Linked DNA regions of Rhinolophus ferrumequinum. Each later gene encodes a partner of the first gene's protein in a complex. Links are inferred from orthologs where the notes say so. Each region holds a gene or a part of one and is shown on either strand. Other genes may lie near its edges.

What was found.
Region 2: the proteins of ZC3HAV1 (region 1) and KHNYN are in contact, whole or in part, in a crystal structure (PDB 9BGL), measured with the Homo sapiens proteins. The link is inferred for Rhinolophus ferrumequinum from reciprocal best matches to the Homo sapiens genes ZC3HAV1 and KHNYN. Residues at the interface, in NP_064504.2 of Homo sapiens: Glu5, Val6, Cys8, Phe9, Lys12, Ile13, Ala16, His17, Glu29, Ile30, Ala31, Leu32, Leu113, Glu115, Phe118, Ser127, Gly128, Leu129, Asn130, Glu133; in NP_001277186.1 of Homo sapiens: His651, Lys652, Asp654, Phe655, Gln658, Arg659, Pro661, Tyr662, Asn677, Phe678.

The regions. Positions count from the first base shown.
Region 1 is NC_046309.1:10,148,303-10,159,977, forward strand, and holds the start of ZC3HAV1 (zinc finger CCCH-type antiviral protein 1), read left to right. Parts: upstream 1-6,170; 5' UTR 6,171-7,357; coding exon 7,358-7,665; intron 7,666-11,675.
Region 2 is NC_046289.1:74,554,916-74,566,416, reverse strand, and holds the start of KHNYN (protein KHNYN), read right to left. Parts: upstream 5,218-11,501; 5' UTR 4,992-5,217; intron 4,968-4,991; exon of another isoform or gene 4,789-4,967; intron 4,531-4,788; coding exon 4,488-4,530; intron 4,398-4,487; coding exon 4,177-4,397; intron 3,382-4,176; coding exon 2,270-3,381; intron 2,133-2,269; coding exon 2,002-2,132; intron 1,915-2,001; coding exon 1,818-1,914; intron 1-1,817. Other genes in the region: CBLN3 (cerebellin-3), read left to right, coding at 6,055-6,354, 6,662-6,781, 7,108-7,305.

The DNA.
Region 1 (11,675 bases):
GAAATTCGTCTACCAGGTTTGTTCTGCTTGCCCATCCTGAAGGAATTAGCAAAATAACCCACTCTTCTCTATCAGATCTGCTCCATTTGTCAGGCCAAAAGGAATTTTATGATTAACCGCAAGGCGTTGTTACATTTTGTCCTGGAGCGAAGGTGTTTTAGGATATGGCTGTCTTTGTTCATTCCACCAGGGACCTCCCTGTCTACCTAGGGATATGCTAGCTAACCTGTCTCAATAACTACTGGCTTCCCCAGAGAGAGTGAACAATATGGAAGTCAGCATGTTTTTTATGACCTCATCTTGAAACTCACACTGTTGCTTCTGTAATATCCTGTTGATTACACAGATCAGTTCTATGGAACGTGGCAGAAGACTACACAGTGGTGCAAATACCAGGAGGCAGGGGGCTCCCTCGGGGCTAGCCGACTACCAGCAAGCCATCTCATCCTCCCATTGCCCCACCTCTGGAGTACAACATGTTCATCGCCTGTGCTTTCATCCCGGCAGAAGGCTTGCAACCCGAAGTTCCTCATTTGAACAGCACCAAAGCAAAGTCTGTAAATTTACCTTCAAAGAGGGAAACGGCCCTTCTTACTCTAAAGTCAATCCCTCCACCACACCTACAGCTTCTTCCCTCCCAGTTCACGTGTTCCCAGGGAGCTTGCTGTTGGGCAGGTTCAATCTAGGGAAAACCCCTCTGCCGGCCCTTTACCTCCACCCTCCTCTGCCTGGCTGACTAATGCCTCCCTGGACTTCCATATCTCCTGGAGAACATCTGTTTACCGTGGACTTTGGACATGACATCTGACTCAACCCTCTGGTGTTTATGTGCTTTTCATTTCTCTGACTTAGCATAGCTGACTCACTGCTGCCTTGTGTATGTTTTGCTTCCCTTTTCAACTGGTGGTGGTTCAAGTAATCTCGTAGCCTCATATGCTAATATGCCCTAGAAACTGCAGCTTTGCACTCTCCCGAGATTTATGTCTTTGAAATGTTCACATATGCCCAGATCTTCCAGTAAAACATTAATACACAAGCAAGCAAACAAACAAAAAAAAACCCTCTCTCTGCCTGAATGATTCCTCTTCCTTTTTCTTCTCTCTTCTCCTTTCCTTGTCAATCTTCTAAAATGAGTGACTCATTTTGATTTTATACCTTACAATTCTGAACAAACCTGCTGTACCAAGGGAGCTGGAATATAAGACTGTCTACAGGAGAATTTATTGACATAGGAGTGCTCTCACAGGTTCTGAGCTTTAGCATCCTGTGAAGAACCAGAGGATGGCGCAAATCTGTTGCTGGGTGGCTCCTGGAAAATTGATGGCCTACAAAGAATGAGGTTGGAATGCCTAAATTTCTGGGGCAGACAGTAAAGAAAGGATAAAAGATTCAGCAAAGTGGATATGCTGGAAAGATACATGATGTTAAGGCCAGAAGGCTCACGAGAGCATTAGGCTCCACAGCTATTAGTGCCACTCTTAAATATAAAAATGATGAAGAAATGTTGTCCTGTATCTCTGTATAACTAGCCAGTGTTGACCTTGCAGCAACTGGATGGGTCCTAGAGAATCACTGCAGACTACTGCAAGAAGTGCAACCCCTCTACACCTGCTGTGCCTGCTGTAGTGGCTTGGCTAGCTTGGAGTTACGCAGCCTCAGCTACGTGGTTGGCAGCCGTCGATTTGGCGAATGCTTTCTTTTCTATCCCAATCAGGAAAGAGGATCAGAAATAGTTCATATTCACACAGAATGAGTACCAACAAGCATTTAGAGTTTTGCCACAGTTTTGTGTTCACTCTTCAGTCCTTTGTCCTGAAACAGTCCCAAGAGAACTGGAGACTTTGGACATCCCACATAACGTCACCTCGACCCATGACATTGGTGATACCATGCTGCTCAGGCAGGATGAGAAAAAGGCAGTGCACATGGTAGTGACTTCATATGACACGGGTCCCAGAGAGTGGGAGTTAAATCCTACAAAGATTCCGTGACCTGCCACTTCACTAAAGATGTGAGGGGCCTGATGGCCAGCAGCATGCTGGGACATTTCCTCCTCGGTAAAAGAGACATTGCTGCATCTCGATCCCTTACTAGGAAAAAGGAAGCACAAAGCCTGTTAGGAATCTTTGGGTTCTTGAGGAAACACATGCTACACCTACAAATACTATTGCTACCCACGTATTGGGTGACGTGGAAGGTGGCCAGCTTTGAGTGGGGCTTGGAGCAGGAAAGAAAGAGCTCTGCAGCAGGTCCAGACTGTGATACAAACAGCTCTTCTGCTTGGACTCTACCATCTGGCAGAGGCTAGAGTGTTGATAGTGTCAATGACGGGAAGACATGCAGTGCTGCCTTAATGGCATGTCCCAGCAGAAGAATCGGAATGCAGACCCCTGGGATCATAGAACAAGGTTATGCCAACTGCGGGGAAGAATTACACTCCTTTTGAAGCTCCTAGCTTGCTGCTGGGCACTGGTAGAGATAACAAATGACCGTGGGTTGGATTTGGCCCACACGAGCTACGTCCTATTTGACACGTCAGATCATAAAGCCCGGCAGGCCCAGCATCATCGCCATCATGAGGCGAAACAGGTACATCTGGGACTGAGCACCATCCGGACGGAGCACAGTACTCACTGAGGAGTAAGTAGCCTGGATCTTCGTGTCACTCATTACAGTTGCACTGGCACTCCTCCCCCAACTTAACACCGAGGGCCATACGAGGCGGTCCCACATAAATTGCTAAAAGAGGAAAGACAAGACCAAGCTCGAGTTCTGGATGGGTCGTCGTCTCACTATGTGCATGCAAGCGAGACACGGACGGCGGCTGTATTATAGTCTCACTCGCTTAGAACACAGTGGTGAGGGGAAATCGCCCCAGTGGGAGGGGCTTTGGGAGGTGCATCTGGGCGTCCACTCTGCCTGGAAGGAGAATGGCCCTCGGTTAGAACATATGTGAATCCGTGGCAGTGATGTGTGGCTTGGCTTGTGGGTAGGGGGCCTGAAAGGAACAGATATAACATCAGAGATAAGAAGGTGTGGGGCAGAGGAACATGGATGGACCTGTAGGAGTGCACTCAGAGTGGGAAGTTGTGTATATCACATGTTGAAGTCCACTAGTAAGTATCTATCACAGAAGATGTGCCAACTAGACAGAATAACTTATCCAGTTAATGGAGCCAGGCTTTGTCAGAACCCCCTCGCTCCCGACTGCTACATGGTGGGTACCTGAACAAGGAGGCTATGGTGGCAGAGATGGGGTTGATGTAAAAACCTAACAGCATGGACTGTCATTTACCAAAACGAATATAGCTACTGCCACCTCTGCATGTCCAACCTGCCAGCCATAAAGACCAATGCTCAGCTTTTATATTTGGTGAGGAGGCAAGAGGCTACTTGGTGACCAGGTGACTACATTGGGGCCCCCTTTTCCCTGGAAGGGCGGGCATTTTGCTCTCACAGGAATGGACGCTGATTCCAAATGTGGGGCTGCTTTCCTTGCCTGCAGTGCCTCAGTAGCACCACTCTCGGGGGGCTTAAAGATCATCTGATCCACGGACTTAGAATCCCATGTAACATAGCATCTGACCAGAGGACTCTGTCTATGGCACCGAGAGTGGGGGAGTGGGCCCATGAATATAGGATCTGCTGGTCATATCACACACCCTATCCCCAGAAGCTGCTGGATATATAAAGGTCCGTTACTGTTGCAGCTGAAGCTCCAGCATGGAGGTAATACATTGCAATGATGACATTTCCTCCAGGACTTCGTAGTATGTGACTTTCATCACACAACTTAGTATGGTGCTGTTTCCCTGATAGAAAGAGTGCGTGGGTCTGGAAACAAGGGGTGGAAGCATGAGTGACCCCCATTAGCTTCATGCCTGTGACCCATTTGCACTTCTCTGTCTCCACAACTCTGGGCTCGGCAGGGTTAGAGCTTTTGGTCCCCCAAAGGGGCACATTCTTGCCTGGAGTAAAACAGTAAAAATTCCACTGGATTACAAGTTATGGCTGTCACCAGGCTCTTTGGCCTCCTTGTGGTCAGAGACTAAGAGGTCAGACAAAGAACTGTTCAGTGGCAATTGAGCTACTCAGCAGAAGGAAGTAGGGCCACTATTAAGACAGCCGGAGGAATATGCGGGGACTTGGGTGACTAATAATTTGGGTGTCAGTTGGCACTCGGTGCTGTGATTGTGACTGAATGGACAAGACAAGAATGACAGCCCTAGTCTGAGAAGGTAGTCGGAGCACTTAGGAATGGGGATTTCAGGTGCCCACCCAAGTAACCTGAGGTGGTAATCGAGGGAGAGGGGAATTAGACTGCAGAGTGGTAGAGGTAGAGCATGAGGCCTGTGGTGGCTTTGCAGCTGGTTGCTGTGACAGGGGCTAGAGTTCATTCCATTGACTTCCCTCTGCTAAGTTTCCTTTCAGGAAGAGCGGGCCATCAGAGGCCTAAAGGAGCTGTTCCCTGAACACAGATGGAGAAATAGATACAGGTGCCGCAAAGGGTGGCCTATGGCAGATAGTGTGTCACTTAGATCCCCCTTACGTTAGGGCTTATTGCCCAACTCAGGGAGTGTGTTTAGGCCGTAGCCTCCAGCTTTAGCTCCTTCAGGATCTGCCCCAGTGCTTGAGCTAAAACATAGTACTTCTGTAGTGCCCCTCTCCCCCATGACCAAGCAAGGTGGTGGCCAGGCTGGCAGACTTGTGAGGTCTGCACGGCAATCTAAAAGCTCCCAGGGACCAATGTTGCTTCTTCCTTTGACTTTCTCTGATGTCACACCCTGGGAAACCTTTTGTATTCCGAGCTTTGAGCTTCATATCAGTGTCTGCTTCCTGGAGAAGTCCACCTGTGACAACACACATTTCAAAATTGCCCAAAATGCCTGCTTTTTCCCTTCTCACAATCCCTTAAATCATTTTTTCATGGCTTCAAATTGAGGGGAATTTTATATCTTTATTCCCAACCATTCTAGCCAAACTGTGCTCTTTCTTCTCAAATGTCTCATACACCGATTGCAGCATTTAACCTTTTGGAAAGCAAAATTCAACTGACTAAATTTGAAGACCTAATTGGCTTTATCAAGGGATTCAGAAATCGGACAGCATCTCCTCTAGCAAGTGGAAGGGTGTTCTGAAGGGTTGTACAAAATGGAAGGTTTTTATAGGCAGAAGGGTGTGGTAGGCATTATTAGCAAAAGAGAGAAAGGATTATTTTTAGACCAGGACATCATCTTTTTTGGGGGAAAGAAAAGGTAAGGATTTTATCATTCAGATCGCCTCTTCTTCCTTTTGGGGGCGCGGAGGGTGGAGAGGGCTCACTGACAGATTATCTTACTGGTTCTTGACTAGACTGATTGAGACTATTTCTGGGAGAGGGTAAAACTGCAGTTAAATCTATGTTTGCTCTCATGGGTTTTTAGCATAAGGGATGCATTTTGGGCCTGTGGTTTTCTTTTTAACAACTGATTCCCTTATGTTAGAATGCTTTTTCATGTCTTCCCAAACACAAACTCCTTGAGGGTAGGGACTATTTCTTAAACTTCTGCATGTTCAGAGTGACTAATGTAAGACCACACAGAAGATACCATGTTGAACTTAATTGATTTGATAATGCAAGCCCTGTGCTGGGAACCAGTCAGAACACAGATAAGGCCACGTGGATCAAGGCAACTATAGAAGTAATAGCTAGAGGGAACAGGAAGTCAGATGATCCTGAGTGAGCCCCAGGTTTGGCTGGTTTTCATACCAAAGTATTCTCTTCTTGAGAGACACAGTTCATCTACCGCGAATTACTAAACTGAGAATTTGCGTTGATCATTTTGAAGACTTTCTAATCGGACAACCGTATTCTACCATTTTTTAAAAAGGTTTATTTCTGATCTGATCAGTGACCCATTTATTTTACTTGGGAGTGCTGAGAGGAAAAACTGTTTCCTCTTCCAAGATGGGTCCAGGCTTGGGGGCCTGCAAATTAACTGACAATAGACAGATGAACAGGAGGAAAGACTAGATTTATTTATACCTTAGGAGGGCTGGGTAGCTCCCAGTAACGGAAAAACTCCTGGAACAGCCAAAAGTTTATATCTCAACTTAAGGGTTTTTTTTTTTTTGTTTGTTTTGTTTTTTTTTTTAAGGGCTTCAATGGGGAGGATATGGAAGGTTCTATTGGGTTTTTTGATGCTAATGACAATGGGCAGTCTGTCTTCACCGGGCAACGGAATTAGCAGGAAACTCCCTTGGAAGGTTAATGGTAGCTGTATTTTCTGGAGGCTTTGATTTAGTCAAGAGTAAGAGAATTTCAGATACAATTTCTTTAACATCTTCTGTAGCTCAAATGTTTTCACTGTAAGATAATCTGTATATAAACTCTGGGAGCCCAACTGGGTCCACACGGGGAAAAGGGCTTGTTTAAATGTCTAAAGAGAGAAGCGTAACTGAAAACTTGGGATAAGTCCAAACATGCACCTCTGACTGCTTGCTGTGGAGAATGAAGCGATGCCTGGGGCACCGAGGTTAGCGATTACAGGCAGGCAAGAAAGGTCAAGAAATGGTTCTTCAAAAAACTCGAGAGAAGGCAAATGAGAGAGGAATAATCGCTTTTTTTTAAGGTGGGCACGATGCCATGGGAGAACGTGCACATCGGCCCTAGCCAGGCGGTCCACGATCTGGGGTCTGGGAGCCAGATTTGGGGCACTTCAGTAGTGTCCGGGTTCCAGCATGATTGCTGTGCGTATTGCTCACGTTTGTTCCTCAAACACAAAGTGAGGACAACAATACCTAACTCGTGGAGTTGTTAAGAAGATTAATACCGGCGGCAGGGCGTCCAGCCCCGAGCAAGTGCTCACTAGATGTGTTCTTTCCCGGATGGGTGGGGTGGAGAGAAGACTCCTCAAGAGGGCTCCAAAACTCGCGTCATTCGCCACTTCGGCTGGCTTATAAAAGCGCCTCAGTATCATTTTTACTTTCTCTTCTTTCGGAAGAAGCCTCACCCTGCCCAGCTGGGGAACCTCACCCTCTCGGGGGCTAGAACTCAGCGGGAGCCGTACGGGTGGCCGCCACGGTCGCCAGCAGATCCGCCCGTGCGCTGTTCGCTTTCTTTCCATTCGGTTGCCGTCGCGGTTGACTTTACATCTGACGCAGGGATCGGGTTGGTGACCTCGGTCCTGGGGACCCAGAGCCGAGCGGGAAACCGAAACCTCTGGGCTCCGCTAACAGCGGGGAGCGCGCATTCGCGGGCCCGTGGCGCGCCCAACTCGAGCACCGCCCGCGCCCGCCCCCGCCCCCGGGGCTCTTGTAAGTTTCGATTCTCCCCGGAGCAGAGTCCCGCGCCTCGCGGCCTGGCCAGAGCAGAGCCATGGCGGACCCTGAGGTGTGCTGCTTCATCACCAAAATCCTGTGCGCCCACGGGGGCCGCATGGCCCTGGACGCGCTGCTCGACGAGATCGTGCTCTCCGAGGCGCAGCTCTGCGAGGTGCTGGAGGCGGCCGGGCCCAACCGCTTCGTGATATTGGAGACCGGCGGCGGGGCCGGGGTCACCCGGTCCGTGGTGGCCACTACCGGAGCCCGGGTCTGCCGTCGCAAGTTCTGCCAGAAAAGCTGCGGAAACCTGCACCTCTGCAAGCTCAACCTGCTGGGCCGATGCCACTATTCGCAGTCGGAGCGGTGAGTGCGCTGCGAAGGAGGGGCGGTTCCGCGGGGCCCGGGCTGCGAGGACTGTCGGGGCTGCTGTCCGCGAGGGGCGCGCCCTCGGGGTTCCTCCTACCCCACACCCTGTTCCTCCAGCCCCTCACTTCTCTGCTCCCTTCCTCTAGCGCCTCCAGACCTTTTCTCGAATATGGCTAACGCGATATGGCCCCGGCAAAGACTATGCTTAACTCCCCGCCCCCAGAAGAATAAAGTACTTTGGGGTCCGCCAGGGCTTAGAGAATTTGGAGGCAGGTTTGGGATCGAAGGAAAATGTCCCCACTCCCTGGACTCTTGGATCTTTCCCTGCTACCTCCATCCCTAGGCGCGTTGCTGTTTTCCCAGCACCCGGCGCCGCGCTCCGCACTCGGTTGCGTCTCCACCGCCGCCGGCCGCGGGTCTCTGCTTGGCCCTCCATGCCTAGCTGCCTGCATTCCCCTCATCGTCGCTTTTCTGATATCGGACGTTCGTCCACACCACCTGACTAGAACGGTCCTATTCAAGGATCCCAATGATGTGTTCTTTCCCCGTAGTCTCACCGCGGTGGCTGGAACCGCTGACCTCCCGCTCTTGTGGACACTTTGAAATAGAGCGCCTTACCTGTCAGGCAGCTCTTGCTGTGTTTCCACTTGTTCTTTTTTTTTTTTTTTTTGCCTCTAAATATAGGTGTGCCCCAAGGTTTGGGTTAAGCCTTCTGACCTATCAAGTCTCCCTGAGAGAGCTCACTCTTGGGGTCAGCTGTCACATCTACAAAGATGGCTCCCGTGTGTACCGCCCCGCTGCCCAGACTTTCCAACCGAATCTAGGTTCTCCTAGTGTCTGAGGAGCATCTCTACCTGAATATCCTGCTAATAAAAGAGTCAAACTCATCTTCCTCCCCCCTGGGCACTTTCCCCCAGGGTCTCTGACACTCAACTTCTTCCCAGGGCAGGGTCTCTGACACTCAACTTCTTCCCAGGGCAGGGTCTCTGACACTCAACTTCTTCCCAGGGCAGGGTCTCTGACACTCCCCCCAAACCCTTCTTCATCCTTCACAATACCTTAATCACCAAGTCCTTTTGTTGAAGTCTCCTATCCCCTTCCTGCGGGTCCTCCTTCCTGTCTCACTTCTGAATGAATGCCTTGTTGAATTAGTGAATTGTTCTCTCCTACCATAACCTTCTCTCCACCTTTTCCATCCCTGTGTACTTCTGCTCAGTTATTTTTCTTGATATAGTACTTTACACAGTTGGCTCTCCTTAAAAAATTTAAGCGATGTCCTAGTGTCCAAAATGGTGGTTCTAACTTTTGATCATGCCCTTGTTATCGAAAGACTTTAGATTACTCATCCCAAATATATGTAATAAAACATACAAAAGACATGTTTTCAATGCGCGAGGTGGATGAGAGAGTATTTTTAAAAAATGTATTTGTTCAGGGCAAAACTGAACTTTTTTTTAAAAAGTTCTTGAATATGCAGCGTTAATAATATTTATTGAATATGTTGTGAGGCATCAGTTTCAAAATCTGTTTCTGGGTTTGGGGAAGTTATGTGTATAGAGGAAAACATCTAAGGCACAGGGGAAATCAGGAAGGAAGGAGGGAAGAGAGGAGGGAGGAGAGAAAGAAGAGGAAGGAACATTCTAGCACTATCCTGAATAACAGAGTTGGAGGGCTTTGTTTTTTTTTTGTTCTGTTGTGAACATTTTTTCACCAACTAGTGTTGACTTTTAAACTAAGTTTTAAATACATATGCTTCTTATCTTTTAATTTTTTACTATGGATATTTTCATATCTATATATGAAAATGTATACAAAATTTCCCTTCACCAGTTTTCAAAATATGGACAGTCTTATTTCATTTATTCCCCCATCCCTATCCCCAACTCTAATGTGTTATTTTAAACCAAAAGGCGATCATTTGCTTCATAAATAACTTTATTGCCGAAGGATAAGGACTCTTAATAACATAACCACAGTGATCACGTTGTTTTACAGTTACAATTTTAATATCATCTAATATCAAGTTGGTGTTCAAATTTCCCTGATTGTCTTATAATCTGACTTTCATTTTCAGGAAAAAATGTCTACACAGACATAATCGATAATTGTTTCAATATGTCACATATCCAGTATATTTAGAAATTTTGTTTCAGTTTCTTGCAGTATGTTTAGAAACTAGTTTTTTGTTTTAAGAATTTTATTATTATTTTTTTGGCCTGGTTTGAAACATCAAAGCCATTTTAAGCTCATAAATTGGGTTGTTAACTTGAACTTTTCTATATTTTAAAAGTATATATAGGGCCGGCCCGGTGGCTCAGGCGGTTAGAGCTCCATGCTCCTAACTCCCAAGGCTGCCGGTTCAATTCCCATATGGGCCAGTGAGCTCTCAACCACAAGGTTGCCAGTTCAATTCCTCCAGACCCACAGGGATGGTGGGCTGCGCCCCCTGCAACTAGCAACAGCAACTGGACCTGGAGCTGAGCTGCGCCCTCCACAACTAAGATTGAAATGACAACCACTTGACTTGGAAAAAAGTCCTGGAAGTACACACTGTTCCCCAATAAAGTCCTGTTCCCCTTCCCCAATTAAAAAAAAAAAAAGTATATATAAAATATAGGCATAATTTGGTCAATGCATGTTTGGATGAATCCTTCAGGTAATTCATTAGCCTTTTTTTTAGTGAAGTGATAAATTCGTATTTCTTACATTTATTGGTCTTGTCATGTTTTTCATTAACTTTTATTTCCTTTATATCACTTTTGAATTTGAGAATTACAAATTTTTAATCCATTAATGTACATTTTGTCCTCATAATAAGGACCCTTAGAAGAATTTTTTTTTCTTGCCTTAAAACCTAGAAAAGTATGTGTTTTAAAAATATTCCCCTTTCTTAGCAACTTACAAAACTTGATCTTCTAAAACTTGAAGTGTGGGAGTCGCAGGATTTTCTTTGTGGCTTACAGCTTAATGGGATCTGTTGATCAATTGGTAACCATGTTGAAATTACCATTCCGTTTGGTAAACTGTTCTCTGTTTGCTGGACTTATAAAATTTCCTCTATAGTGTTGTTATTCATAAATGGGATTTCTCCTATCCTGTAGTTTGCATCTTTTCTCTTACATTGCTTTAAGCTATACTTTTTAGTCAACAACAGGGCTGACTTTCTTCAGTGTTGGATAATTACTTGTTTTGGTGCATCTGTTTGGATATTTGTATTTGCTTTGCTAAAATACATGCCTACGCGTGACATTCTAATCCCAGTTCAGATACAAACAATAAACACCATTTATTGAACAAATAAGTCTGTACCAAGCACTCTGATAAGCACTTCAGAGATGGTATCCAAGTCAGTCTTTACCCTGATTCTTGAGGTAGGTATTATAAATCCCATTTCAACGTAAGGAAATAGGCCTAGAGCTGTTTAGAAGAAATTGACCGAAGGTCACATAGCAGATAGCTGGCAGAGTTAGGGTTGAACCCAGATCTACATGACTTGTTAACCAGCTAGTCATGTTGTCAAATAGCTGTGTGCAGTGTGATCTTTCACTAATTCAAGTTATTTTTTGTAAGCATGATTACTGTTTAAAGCAGGTTTTCTGAGTGTCTTCAACTAAGCTTTGTGGTTTTTCTGCTAATATGCCTGTTTCCTCTGGGCTCTTTCCTGTTTGTATGCCTTTCTCTCCCTGCGGTTGATTGAAACTTTGCATGGGGGGTGGGTAGATGAAAAGAGAATTAGTTGACTATTTCTTAAATTGAAGAAAAAAACAACCCAAAAGTGCAAAGAATATACAGGCATCAAAGTATATATATCCTTAAAAAAAAATAATAATAATAATAAAAGGTATATATATCCTGAGTATATAATATAACAAAAGTTATATACAGAATTGTAAGTTATAGTTCACCTCCAAAAATAAATATTTACATTTTTCATTTTTGTTCCTTTTAAAATAAAATGAAAGCCATAACAGACCTAATGTTATTTTTTTTTCCCCTCTTCCCTATTG
Region 2 (11,501 bases), on another chromosome or scaffold:
CAACTTGAGTCATCCTGATTCCATTAAAACTGGGGTAGGACTCATAAAGAGGTATGTGGGGATCTTTTTTAACAGGTTTAGAAACCATAAGATCCAGCCCATCCCATGTCCCTGTCTCAACAAAACTCACAAATCCCTCCCTCCCCACAAAATCCCAGCCGGAAGGGGGCTCCCTTTCCTCCAAGTTCCTGTAGTTTTTGATTTATAGTTTCTTTTGGCTCTTTCAAGTCAAATTCCCAGCATTCCCGCCTCCTTCTGCAGGCCACCCACCGAGCACTAAGTGGGCAGTCAGTGTGTGAAAGGCAGTGTGGTACAGAGGGGACTAGTAATCAGGACTGGGTGTGACAGATGTCTGGTTCAGTTTCTGTCTGGGAAACAAATTAAGGAGATGACATACAATTGCATATGATATCCTCTGATATAGAAAAGGTATTATCAGGTTAAGCACATGTGACCATTATCGTGACACATCATACGTGGTTCAGCAGCATTCATTCAGCAGGCCTACGCTGTGCACCGCGTATTTGTCACTGTAACTAGGCATAATTCCAAACTCGTATTGTGCTGTCTTCCTACCAACACCTATACAACTACTCAGACATGTGCCTTCAAAACTCATTACTACTGACTCGGTCTTCCGTTTCAGTGCTGTGTCAATGCTGGTGTGGAAAGAATGTTCCATATCTTGGATGATCTGTGAAATCCAGACATAAAACAATAGCATCGGGAGAAAGTGAACTACCTTTTTGCAGAATACCATTTGCTTGTTAGGGAGAAAAAGTTAACTATTTGAAAAGACAAAATGTATCATCGGTATGGTTTGGAAACTAGTTTTTTATTTAAAACTGAAAATCCTAGAGAATAAAGAACTTGTAGTTGTAAAACTTTTTAATTGCTTAGCTTTTAAAATCTGCCCATTTCTCACACCGTGTGTGTACCCTGAGGGGATGTGCCCTGTGTTTTTTCATTTAAACTATCTCGCAGCTTTAAGTTCTCATTTTCGTCACTTGGTAGCCTTTGCCAAGAGAATTAACCACTCCTACCCTCTGGTCCATTTCTGTACCATAGAGATAAGACCCTCTGCCACACTTGATTGGGTCCATGAATAGTTAAGGAATATCACCGTACTCTTGCCTAGCACCTTGAATGAGGCAAGCACATACCTTACCGTCTTTTCATATTCACAAGGAACATGAATAAATGGTAGAGGGTCCTGAGACAAGAGGTTAATTCACTAAGAGACTGGTCCATCGTCAGAGTCAATGAGTAATGCAACTTGGAGCTCCAATTCAGATCTTCAAATTCTAAATCCAGTGATCTCTCTATTATACCATGTTTTATTTATTTGTTTTATTTATATGTTGATTTATGTTACTATGCATGGATTGTGTTTCTTCATTTGATTTATTTTGAACATTTACTCTGGTTTTCCCAAGATGTTGGAACATTTCTCTACGTGTTTGGAAATCTGGGTGGTAAGAAGGCATTTGTCAGCTAGTCATGTCATCAGCTTTCCCACCTTTCCATTAAACCAGTATTTTCTAGACAGTAAGGTACTATATACATACAAAGCATCATTTAGTTTGATAAATAAAAGATGAATGATGAATGGGCAAACACATTTGTGCACCAGCCATCTTATCTCACCTGTGGAGCAGGTTTACCTAACCAGTCATGGGCACACAGAGAATAACTGGCCCTTTGCCCGGCTACCCAGGCTGACAGACAGTGCAAAGGGTCATGAGTTTCTGTCTCTCCCTCAATCTCCCACTGGGCTCCTTGAATATCAAGCCTGGGACCAGGAGAGAAATAAGTACCTGTCATCATAGGAGGAGATCCTCTTGCCATCCATGACTCTGGAAGGAGTGAGGGAGAGCAGGCTGAGGGAGTAGAGCTTCTGCAGGAAGTGACCCTCTAGAGAAACAGAGGGGCACAATGCAGTTATCCTCACGGTGGAAGCAGGGCCTAGCCCAGGACACAAAAGACCGGGCACAAACTCACCTCTGACCTTGGCATCCTTACTGAAGCGCCACTGAGGCACAAAGACGGTTATGTCCCGGTGGCCACGGTCCCAGAAGTACTGCACAGCAATGGCGATGCCCCGGCTGGAGAAGTAATGCTGGAGGCCGTGCCTGCAGTGGGAAGGGGTCGGCACGCTGGGGCCCCAGAGCAGGAGAGCCTGGCAGCCTAGATGCAGTGCTCGCCCCTCAGCACATGGCCCCAACGTGAATAAAACTGCCCGTCTCCCCCTTCCCCACTGGGTACTCACACCATGGCTACGTTGCTGCCATCAATGACAATATGGCGGAGATCTGGCTGGCCAGGTACATTGGCAAGGCACAGGGTGAAAGGATCCTGCAGGGCCTCCTGGAAACGCTGAGTGCCAGTCACCAAGTTGCCCCCCCGGGTGCCTCGTTTCCACGGAGACCCCCGACCTCGAGCCACAACCTGCTGCTTGTCTGCCCTGTCTCCTCGGTCTCCACAGTGCCACGGGGGTTCAGGTGCAGGTGGGGGGCTAGGCACTCTAGGAGGTGAGGCCTCCCCATTATGGAGCCGCTGGAGGAGAGAGGCTCCCCGGGGCTGTGCTGCCCTCTGACAGGGGCCCTGGGCACCAGAAGACTCACCCTGGACACAGAATCGTCCACTTTCCTGAGGCACTCCCTCCTTTCCCAAGGTTTTCCCCTTCAGGAGGCCTGCCTGCCTTGCCTCTCCTCCCCCTGACTGTGACCTAAAGGCCACTTCTCTTTCCCAGGCCTCTTCCCCAGGCAGCTCCTTCCACCCCAAATCCATCTCCCTGGGACCACCCTGCTTCCCTCCCTCCTTCTCCACAGCATATCTCTCTGCCCTTGACTCTTGCCACCCCATAGGTCCAGTGTCCAGGGACTCCCTGCCTTCACTCAGGGGAGCTCCAACTCCCTGGTACTGAGCACCCAGCAGACCTGGGCTCCCCCCCTCCCAAGAGGGAAGTGCTTGGGGCCCCTGCCCCCTGGATGCCTCCTGCACGAGGCTCAGCAGTTCCTCCTGGATAGCCAGGGGCAGCTGCAGCAGGGCTTCTCTGTGGGCATCCTCCCGGGGCTGCAACAGGGCACAGAAGTCTCTCAGCACTCCAGCACACTGAGAGGCTCCAGGGGATGGCCCTGGCCGAAAGTCCCAGGTCAGCTGCTTCACCAGCTCCTCCACTCGGCTCTGAGCCATGACGAATGCCTCGGTCAGGCCACTGACCATGAGCGAGCCGGGTTCCCTAGGTACCAGGTGGGCTGACGTGCTCCAGACCAGGCAATCAAGGAAGAAGCCCTGGGCCCCCAAAAAGATGCAGTGTAGTTTGGGTGGGTAGTGGATTTCATCCTGTAGCTCCGGGCTACAGAGACCCTTCAGGTACTCCTGGAGGGAAAGAGGGGAAGGTAGGAAAAAAAGAGACTGCTGGAATCTTAAGTGGCCCAGTAGCCCCTGCAGGCTCATTGCTCTCCCCTGAGCTCCAGGATGCCTGGGCAGAGCAATGGAGCCCCACAGATCCTGACAAAGGTGGGGGTTAAAAAGGGATCAAGAATCTCACTTTTTTCTCTTTCCAGCTGACAGCCTGTGGCTAGTATTTCCATGTAGAACTCGACTCACTTTAAGATACAATTATAATTAATTGGTTACAAGACTGTCTCTCTAAATATTTACATGTGTATGTGTGTTATATATTTCCATCATAATGATCACCATTGCTAACTTTTACTGAACTCATGCTTTATCTCATTCATGCTTTACCTCATAAGCCTAATGAGGTAGACACTATTATTCACATTTTATAGGTAAGAAAATTGAGACTCAGGTCACAGGGCTGGTAGGTGGTAGGGCTATACTGGAACCCAGGCCTGGCCTCCCACCCTACAACGAATTCCTTGGTGGGGCCTTCTTGCCCAGCCGGATTGTCTCTGCTTTCCCAAAGAGCACAAACTGATTTGAATTGAATCACTTGTCTGTTCAAGTCCTGGCAGAAGCTGGGTCATCACAGCAGAAATAAAACCAAAACTCCAAATACAAAGTTGGAAAGTCTCTCAAAGCTCAGGACTACTGACTGAGGTTGCCAGTAAGACAAGCAAGGAGTGGAGATCCTCCCCAGGCCCTCCTCTCCCCAGCCTCTGAGTGGAGGAGGCATTGTTCCCGGAAGGGTCAGGGAGGGGCTTTCACCTTGGCTCTGCTGGCATTCTCCTTGGGGCCCTCCAGCTGCAGCCAGATGTGAGGGTTCTCCGGGCAGTCCTTCGGGAGGACGCTCATCCCTACGCGGAAGATGCGCTCCACGTGGGGTTGCTGCCGCTGCACCTTGTCCTCGGCCTCCGCAGACACGGCAAAACGGTCAGGGGACGCGGAGCCAGCCCCCCAGGTAGGCATGGCTGCTTGGCCACCCAGCCCTGGAATTAGGAAAGGCAGCTCAGAGCCTCGCCGACCCCTCAACCCAAACCTTGGTCTCCAGGCCAACACCAGCTATCAACAGGTCTCACCTAGTTGCCGATCTGGTAAACACCCCAGGAGATTTGGGGCCATCTTCGGGGTAGGAAGAGAATGTCAGATTAAAGGGACACAGGCCTTCCCTGAAGAGGAAGTCGTAGATAAACAAGACTCTCTCTGGGATGGGCGTCTGGCCTTTGGAAAAGGATGACTACAGCCCTGAGCAGGAAGCGGGGTGGGGGGCTCCAGCTCGCTCTGGGGCCATTAGAAGTGGAAGGATGACGAAAGATCCCTCTTCTCGGGGGATTCTGCAATCACCGGGTCCAAGACGGGCTCTTAAAGATGGATCCTCACCAGGGTTTGAACTGGGCTGTCCTCTGGGATCCCTCGCCTGCCATTTCCAAGGTTCTAGCCGCTCTCACCCCTCCCCCTCCCTCTGCTGCCGTCCCCACGGTCGCGCCAAGCGCCCCACCCAGGGCCTAGGGGTCGAACCGAGCCCCGCCCCCGGCGGCGCTCAGCACTGCGGCCTTCGGCTCCCGCGGCCCGGGCGCGCATACCCGCCTCGGCCGCCCGTTGTGGCCTCTCCTGCCGGTGCCTCTAGGTGCCCGCCGGCCCCAGCTTCGCCCGCGCCCCCGGCCCAGGGGAGAAAGGCGGGGGGCTCGAATCTGGGCGGGCCTTCCCGGATTTCTCACCCAACGGGGACCTCTCTTCTCCACATCTCGAACTGTTTTTTGAGTCACTTCCTGGCCCGGGGCGGAGTCAGCCGGGCCCCTCCCGGGACTGGGCCTGCACCGGGGCCCCGCGCGCGCCCACCCCCGCCCCGCCCCTCCGGGCTCCTCCGAGCTCCGGGCGTCGGCCCCGCCCACTCGCCCTCAGTTCTCTGGGTCCCCTACGTCTTCTCCCGGTTCCTCTGGGTTCCCGCTGGTTCTCCGCAATTCTCAGGAAAGAGGAATCACTCTGAGAGTCGGAGGTGAAGACAGCCTTAAAGGGACTAATGCAGTCCCTTCGGATGAAGTTATGGAAGCCCAAAGAGGGAAAGAGACTGGCCCAGCGTCACAAGACAGTGACACCGTTGGCCCAAGCACTTTCCACCAAAACAGTTGTGGGGGAAAATACAAGGGCACTCCTTTCTAGCGATGGAAAAGATGCCACTGAGTGCTGTGGACCTGTGAGGGATTTTGAAGAGGGGAGGAATGAGGTGGAGGAAGGGGCTGTCGGAGCTGTCTCTTGCACATCCGCACACTCTCACACACACACATCCACGTTCTCTGTGGTTCCAGTTCCAGCCTTCAATGCTCTCTGGAGAAGCTGCCCTGGGGTTCTGGCTGCAGCCCTCCTGTCTGACTGCTTCATCCCTCCTTTCCCTCCCAGAGCCCAACTGCTGTCATTTTGTGCCCTGCCAAGGAGGAGGGAACAGCAGTGACAGCAGGAGAGGCATGACAGAGTTGTGGGGCACAGAGAGGTATGGAGAGGGAGATTCTGAGACCAGGTGACAGACCCAGAGAGAAGGCTGAGGAGCAGAGTGAGGGGTGTTGAGAGTCTGGGGGAGAGTGGAAAGTGAAAGGAGCAGAAAAGGAGGCAGAAGACAGGAAGTCTTGCTGGTCACAGAGCCACTCAGCCATGCTGGTAGCAACGCAACATTGGCTACAAGGTCTCACACCCACCCCTGGGCTGCCCTTGGCCCTGATGCTTCTGGCCCTGGGGACTGGATGGGCCCAGGAGGGGGCAGAGCCTGTCCTCCTAGAGGGCGAGTGCCTGGTGGTCTGTGAGCCCGGCAGAGCTGCTGCAGGGGGCCCTGGAGGAGCTGCTCTGGGAGAAGCGCCCCCTGGAAGAGTGGCATTTGCTGCAATAAGAAGCCACCACCACGAGCCAGCAGGGGAGATCATCAATGGCACCAGTGGGGCCATCTACTTTGACCAGGTAACCCCTTACCCTGCCCAGACCTAGAATCAACTGTCCAAGCCCACTCTGCTGTTAAGGAAACAGCCTCCTGCTGTGGCCAGTTGCCCCGCAACCCCACTGCCCATCTTCTTCCCCTTCACTCCTACCCATACCCCTCCTTGCCCTTTCTCACCAATTTTGTGGGTTTTTTTGAATCATGCATTCCTCCTTTTGGCAGCTACTTGCCATCCCTTCTTTTCGTTACTCACCGCCCTGTCCCTCAACCCAGTGGTTTTCCTGAGCCCCAGGTGACCCTAGCCCACTCAGCAGTGTCTCCTTCCCCTAGGTCTTGGTGAATGAGGGCGGTGGCTTTGATCGGGCCTCAGGCTCCTTCGTAGCCCCTGTCCGGGGTGTCTACAGCTTCCGGTTCCACGTGGTGAAGGTGTACAACCGCCAAACTGTCCAGGTGACCTGAGTGCTGGGCCCTGTCCTTGACCCTGTCCTGGCTTGGGAGGGGTGAGGAATAACCAGAGCCCAGCAGACTCCTGGACAGACCCTCCATTGACCTGTGTCCTGGGGGACCAGGAGCAAGGGCGGAAAGGGCTTACATAGCAGAGAGTGGAGGACCTGCAGAGTCCAACACTGACCACCCCTCAGCCCTCCCAGGAGAGAGCACTGAGCCCCAGGTTCCAGAGTATTCCTCTGGGGCTGGGGCAAAGAGGGGAAGCCCTCAGAAAAATGGGGTTCTAGGACAAGGGTTGGGGAGAAATGCTAACTGGGCTCCCTCCCCAGGTGAGCCTGATGCTGAACACATGGCCTGTCATCTCAGCCTTTGCCAACGACCCTGATGTGACCCGGGAGGCAGCCACCAGCTCTGTACTACTGCCCCTGGACCCTGGGGACCGGGTATCCCTGCGCCTACGTCGGGGGAACCTGCTGGGTGGCTGGAAATATTCAAGCTTCTCTGGCTTCCTCATCTTCCCACTCTGAGGGCTCCAGGACAAGAATCTAGCCCCTGACCTCGGTCCTCTTCCCTCTCCTGCCCCAGAAGAAGCATCTTTGGGACAGGAGAGAGGCTCCCTCTGGCTGCCTGTATTCCACCTCCTTGCATGGGACCCTGTGCCAAACACCCAAGGTGATGAGTAGAGCTATGGTGTCTTGGGACCTCTTACATACACACACACACACACACACACACACACACATACGCCCTCATAGCCTGCCACGGCATCTCTTTGTGTCTACAGTCCTAGGATCAGAGCAAGGTTTGGCAGATAGAAAGGCCTGAGCTACTTTGCAGACTCTGCTCCCCTGGCCCCACCCCTCCCCCAGCTTCTTGCTCAGAGCTACTTGGGGGCATGTGGCACAGGTGAGCCTAACAGGCCCCCACAGAGGCCCAGATGGACCAGCCTCGGCATACCCAGCAGGCTCCTTCCTGTGAGGAGTGCCAGCATCACGGAGCTCTGCCAGCATAGTCAGGAACTGAGCCAGCACCATATGGAGGCTCAGCCACCAACAGAAGTGTGGGGAGGGCCGCAGAGCAGCCCAAAGCCTAGGGCTGGTAGGGCAGGAAGAAACATGTGCCTAGCCTGAACAAGGTACACATTTTTTATGTACACTGGGGCAGCCAGCAGGCAGTGAACCTGGGTGTTCATCTGTACCAGTTCCCAAATGGACTCTGGCCCTCACGTCCCCCCCGCCGAGACATGGGTTGTGTATGTGTTTGCTCTGGCTGACAGTGAGTGTGTACAGTGCTCCCTCGGGCAGCTGCAGATGAGGGTAAAAGGTCATGTGTGGGCAAGTGTAGATCTCCAGGCATGGCACATATCAATGACCATAGCCAACTCCCGAAACTCCACCTTTGTAGTCTGAACTTCAATCACTTCACATCCTGACCACCACGTCCTTCCTCCCAACTCTCTCAGTTAATCTTCACTGTACCTGTTCCAGACTATCCCATAACCTCTCTTCTTTCTTCTGATCTGTCCTATGTTATCCTCCTTCTTAAACTTCCTATTACCTTGGATTCCATGATCCATCCCTTCACCCACTCTCCTGCCAGTTTTATAAACTCTCTTACCTTGCTGTCCCATTGGCCTAGCATGGATGACTCTATCAATAAAGTAACTAGAGAATGATGGGTGATGAGACACTCTAGGATCACTAAAGATAAAAGATGCCATTACAATTCGAATCAGGTTACAGGATATAAGCTGGTATGTTGTAGAGAAAATAAATGTAAAACTATGTTAGAGTCAAATAAAAAAGGATTTACTAATGTTTGAATTAAATAGGAAATACCAATGTGAATTTGTGGTTTTCAAAAAGAAATAACTTTCTCGCTAAAATGTAGCATAGAAACAACATTAGGAAAAAATCTAATATACATTCTTAGCACCTGGATCTTTGCCTCAAATATTATTCACTTTAAAAGGACTCACGGTTCCTTGGAAAATCGCTCCATATCTTAAATAACTCTAGGCCTGGAACATATTGATGACAAAAAGCAAGGGTACTTTTTCAAATGTATAGGGTGGAGCTGAAAAGGCAAAGGAACCAATTTTAAAATATTTCCACCTGACATTCTGTGACAATTTGGTAATCAAAAGGAAAATAATATAGTTAATTGGAACAAGGTGAATTTGTAAAAATTATGACTAATGATACTCCAAAAGGAAAAAAGTCACTATAAACTGTGCAAAAAGATAATTAACCTACTGAGTGAAGAAGATTAAATATAATAGGATATTTTTAGCTAATTTTGATGAGTAGAAGAGTGTAAATATAGTAGGTATTTTAACTTTTCATAAGGTACATTTACTTTTCTTTATCTGTATATGAGTAAGTAGGGAGGGGTGGATATGGAAAGCTGTGAGTAATTCCAGAAAAGGTTGGAACTGTACCAAGAATGAAAGAGACTGATTGGCACCATCTGGTCATATATTACAACTAAGAAGAAAGAAAATCCAACAGTGTGTTACAAGATGATGAATTAGTCAAATGTCCTGAAGATAACTGCTCACTGCTCAAACTTCATCCTTCCTCTCTAGGGAAAGGGAGCCTCTATATTATTCTACTAATTGTAATGAGATTATAGGAAAGGCAGTATAACCCAAAATAATAATGCCTTAAGCAAGATAGATTATTTCTGTCTCACACAGAAGAATCTGCAGATAAAGGGTCCAGAGATGGATGGCAGTTCTTTTGGGTTCCTAGACCCAATTCCAATGTGTGGGGGGAAGGAAAGGTCGCTTCCCATACAACACCAAGCAATTCTCGGAGACCAGTGAATTCCACTTAATTCAACACAATTCAGACATTATCTACCTGGATACTGCATCAGATTCCACAGGTTAAGGGGTCAGTCCCACAAGACTGCCCCCAAACTCCACCCCTTACTTTAGACCCCAGCCAGAAGCACAGGCTGTTAATTGCGCTCTGACCAGCCATTCATAGACTGGAGGGCCCAATGACCCCCTCCTTGGCAACTCAATCTAGACACCAGTCTAAAATCCAGGTTGTGCTTCTGATCAACTGGCTAGATTCCAGTGTTAAACAAAAATATTTTAACTTACATGACTGACAGTGTTTTCGAAAGAAAGGGTTTATTAGGCCATTGCTAGCAAAAAAAGAAGACATGTCTTGGGGCATGGAATCTAAACCATCAGCATTATGGCTACGTAGAAAAGATAACATGTCCAATGTCCAGCAGTTTTGCAAGTATGTGTATATATCAAGGAAGGGGCAGATAGGTGTAAGTCATTCTGTAAGGATTTGCATTCGCTATAGATAAAGGTGCTGGGTGAAGGTGAAGCAGGGCTAGTGCTGATATGGGCACAGCAGAGTCCATAAGGCTCATGTACAAATAAGAAACGGAGACTCGTGGGGTTCCACAGCACCCAGCTATTCTCTCTTTTGAATAATCACAGAAATAGTCAGCTGGAAATTAATCCTAAATTCCAACAAATACACAGGAATGTGAGCAGTCTTTGGTCATAGCTGGTCCACTACTATCAACAGGCTAAGTGTTCTGTCTCTTTCTCTCACTCTCTGGTTGCTGTAGTGTTCATTTAGAACATCTCAGAATTTTTTCTCTTGTCACCAGTGACCCCCCCTTGGGTTCAATTAATTTGCTAGAGAGTCTCACAGAACTCAGAGAAACATGTTACTAGACCACTGGTTTATTACAAAAGGATATGATTCAGGAACAGCCAGATGGAAGAAATACATATAGCCGTCATGGGGAAAGGGCTTGGAGCTTCCATGCTCTCTTTAGGATCCACTCTTGCAAGTGTTCACCAACCTGGAAGCTTTCTAAACCCTGTCCTTTTGAATTTTTACGAAGGCTTCATTTCATAGGCGTGATTAATTCAATCACTGGCCATAGGCAATTGAGTCAACCTTCAGTAGTCCCACTCCCCTTCCCAGAAATGGAGGAGGGGGGCAGTGGGAATGAAAGTTCCAACCTTCTAATCATATGGTTGGCTCCATTGGTAACCAGCCCCCATCCTGACGTGCTTTCCAAAAATCACCTCCCTAAATAACAAAAGGTACCTTTTTCATTCTTAACACTTAGGAAACTCTAAGGTTTTCAGGAGCTATGAACCAAGAATTGTGTGGAAGAAGACCAAATATATATGAGAAATGGTCCTCTGAATGACCAAATATATATTGCTGAATGACCAAATATATATTTCTTATAAATCACAATATTGCAGCAATTTTGAGATCATCACAGCCCGGTTTCCCTTCTTGCTGCTCTACCATCTGCACTATACGAGTATCACCTCCTGACAAGATGGCTCCTTGAGCTTAACCACTATATCGCCTTACAGCCCCCAGGAAAGAAGGAGTAAGGAAGAAAGGGCACACCACTTTCCTTTAAAGAGTCTTTCTGAAAGGCACACCTAACATTTCTGACTGCATCTCACTGGCTGGAATTTAGTCACGCATGGCCACACCAGGCCAGAGAGAAACAGTAGGAAATAGAGTTTTTATTCCAGGCAGCCAGGCCCAGCTAAAAGTCAGGAGTATTGTAATAAGGAAGAAGAGGACGTTTGACACTGGGAAAAACAACTAGAAGTTTTTTAAAACGCAAACGAGCTAGATGAATTTGTAAATAATGTTAATACAGTTGTTGTACTTGTTTTCTATTACCATGTAACAAATTGCATAAAGCTTAGTAG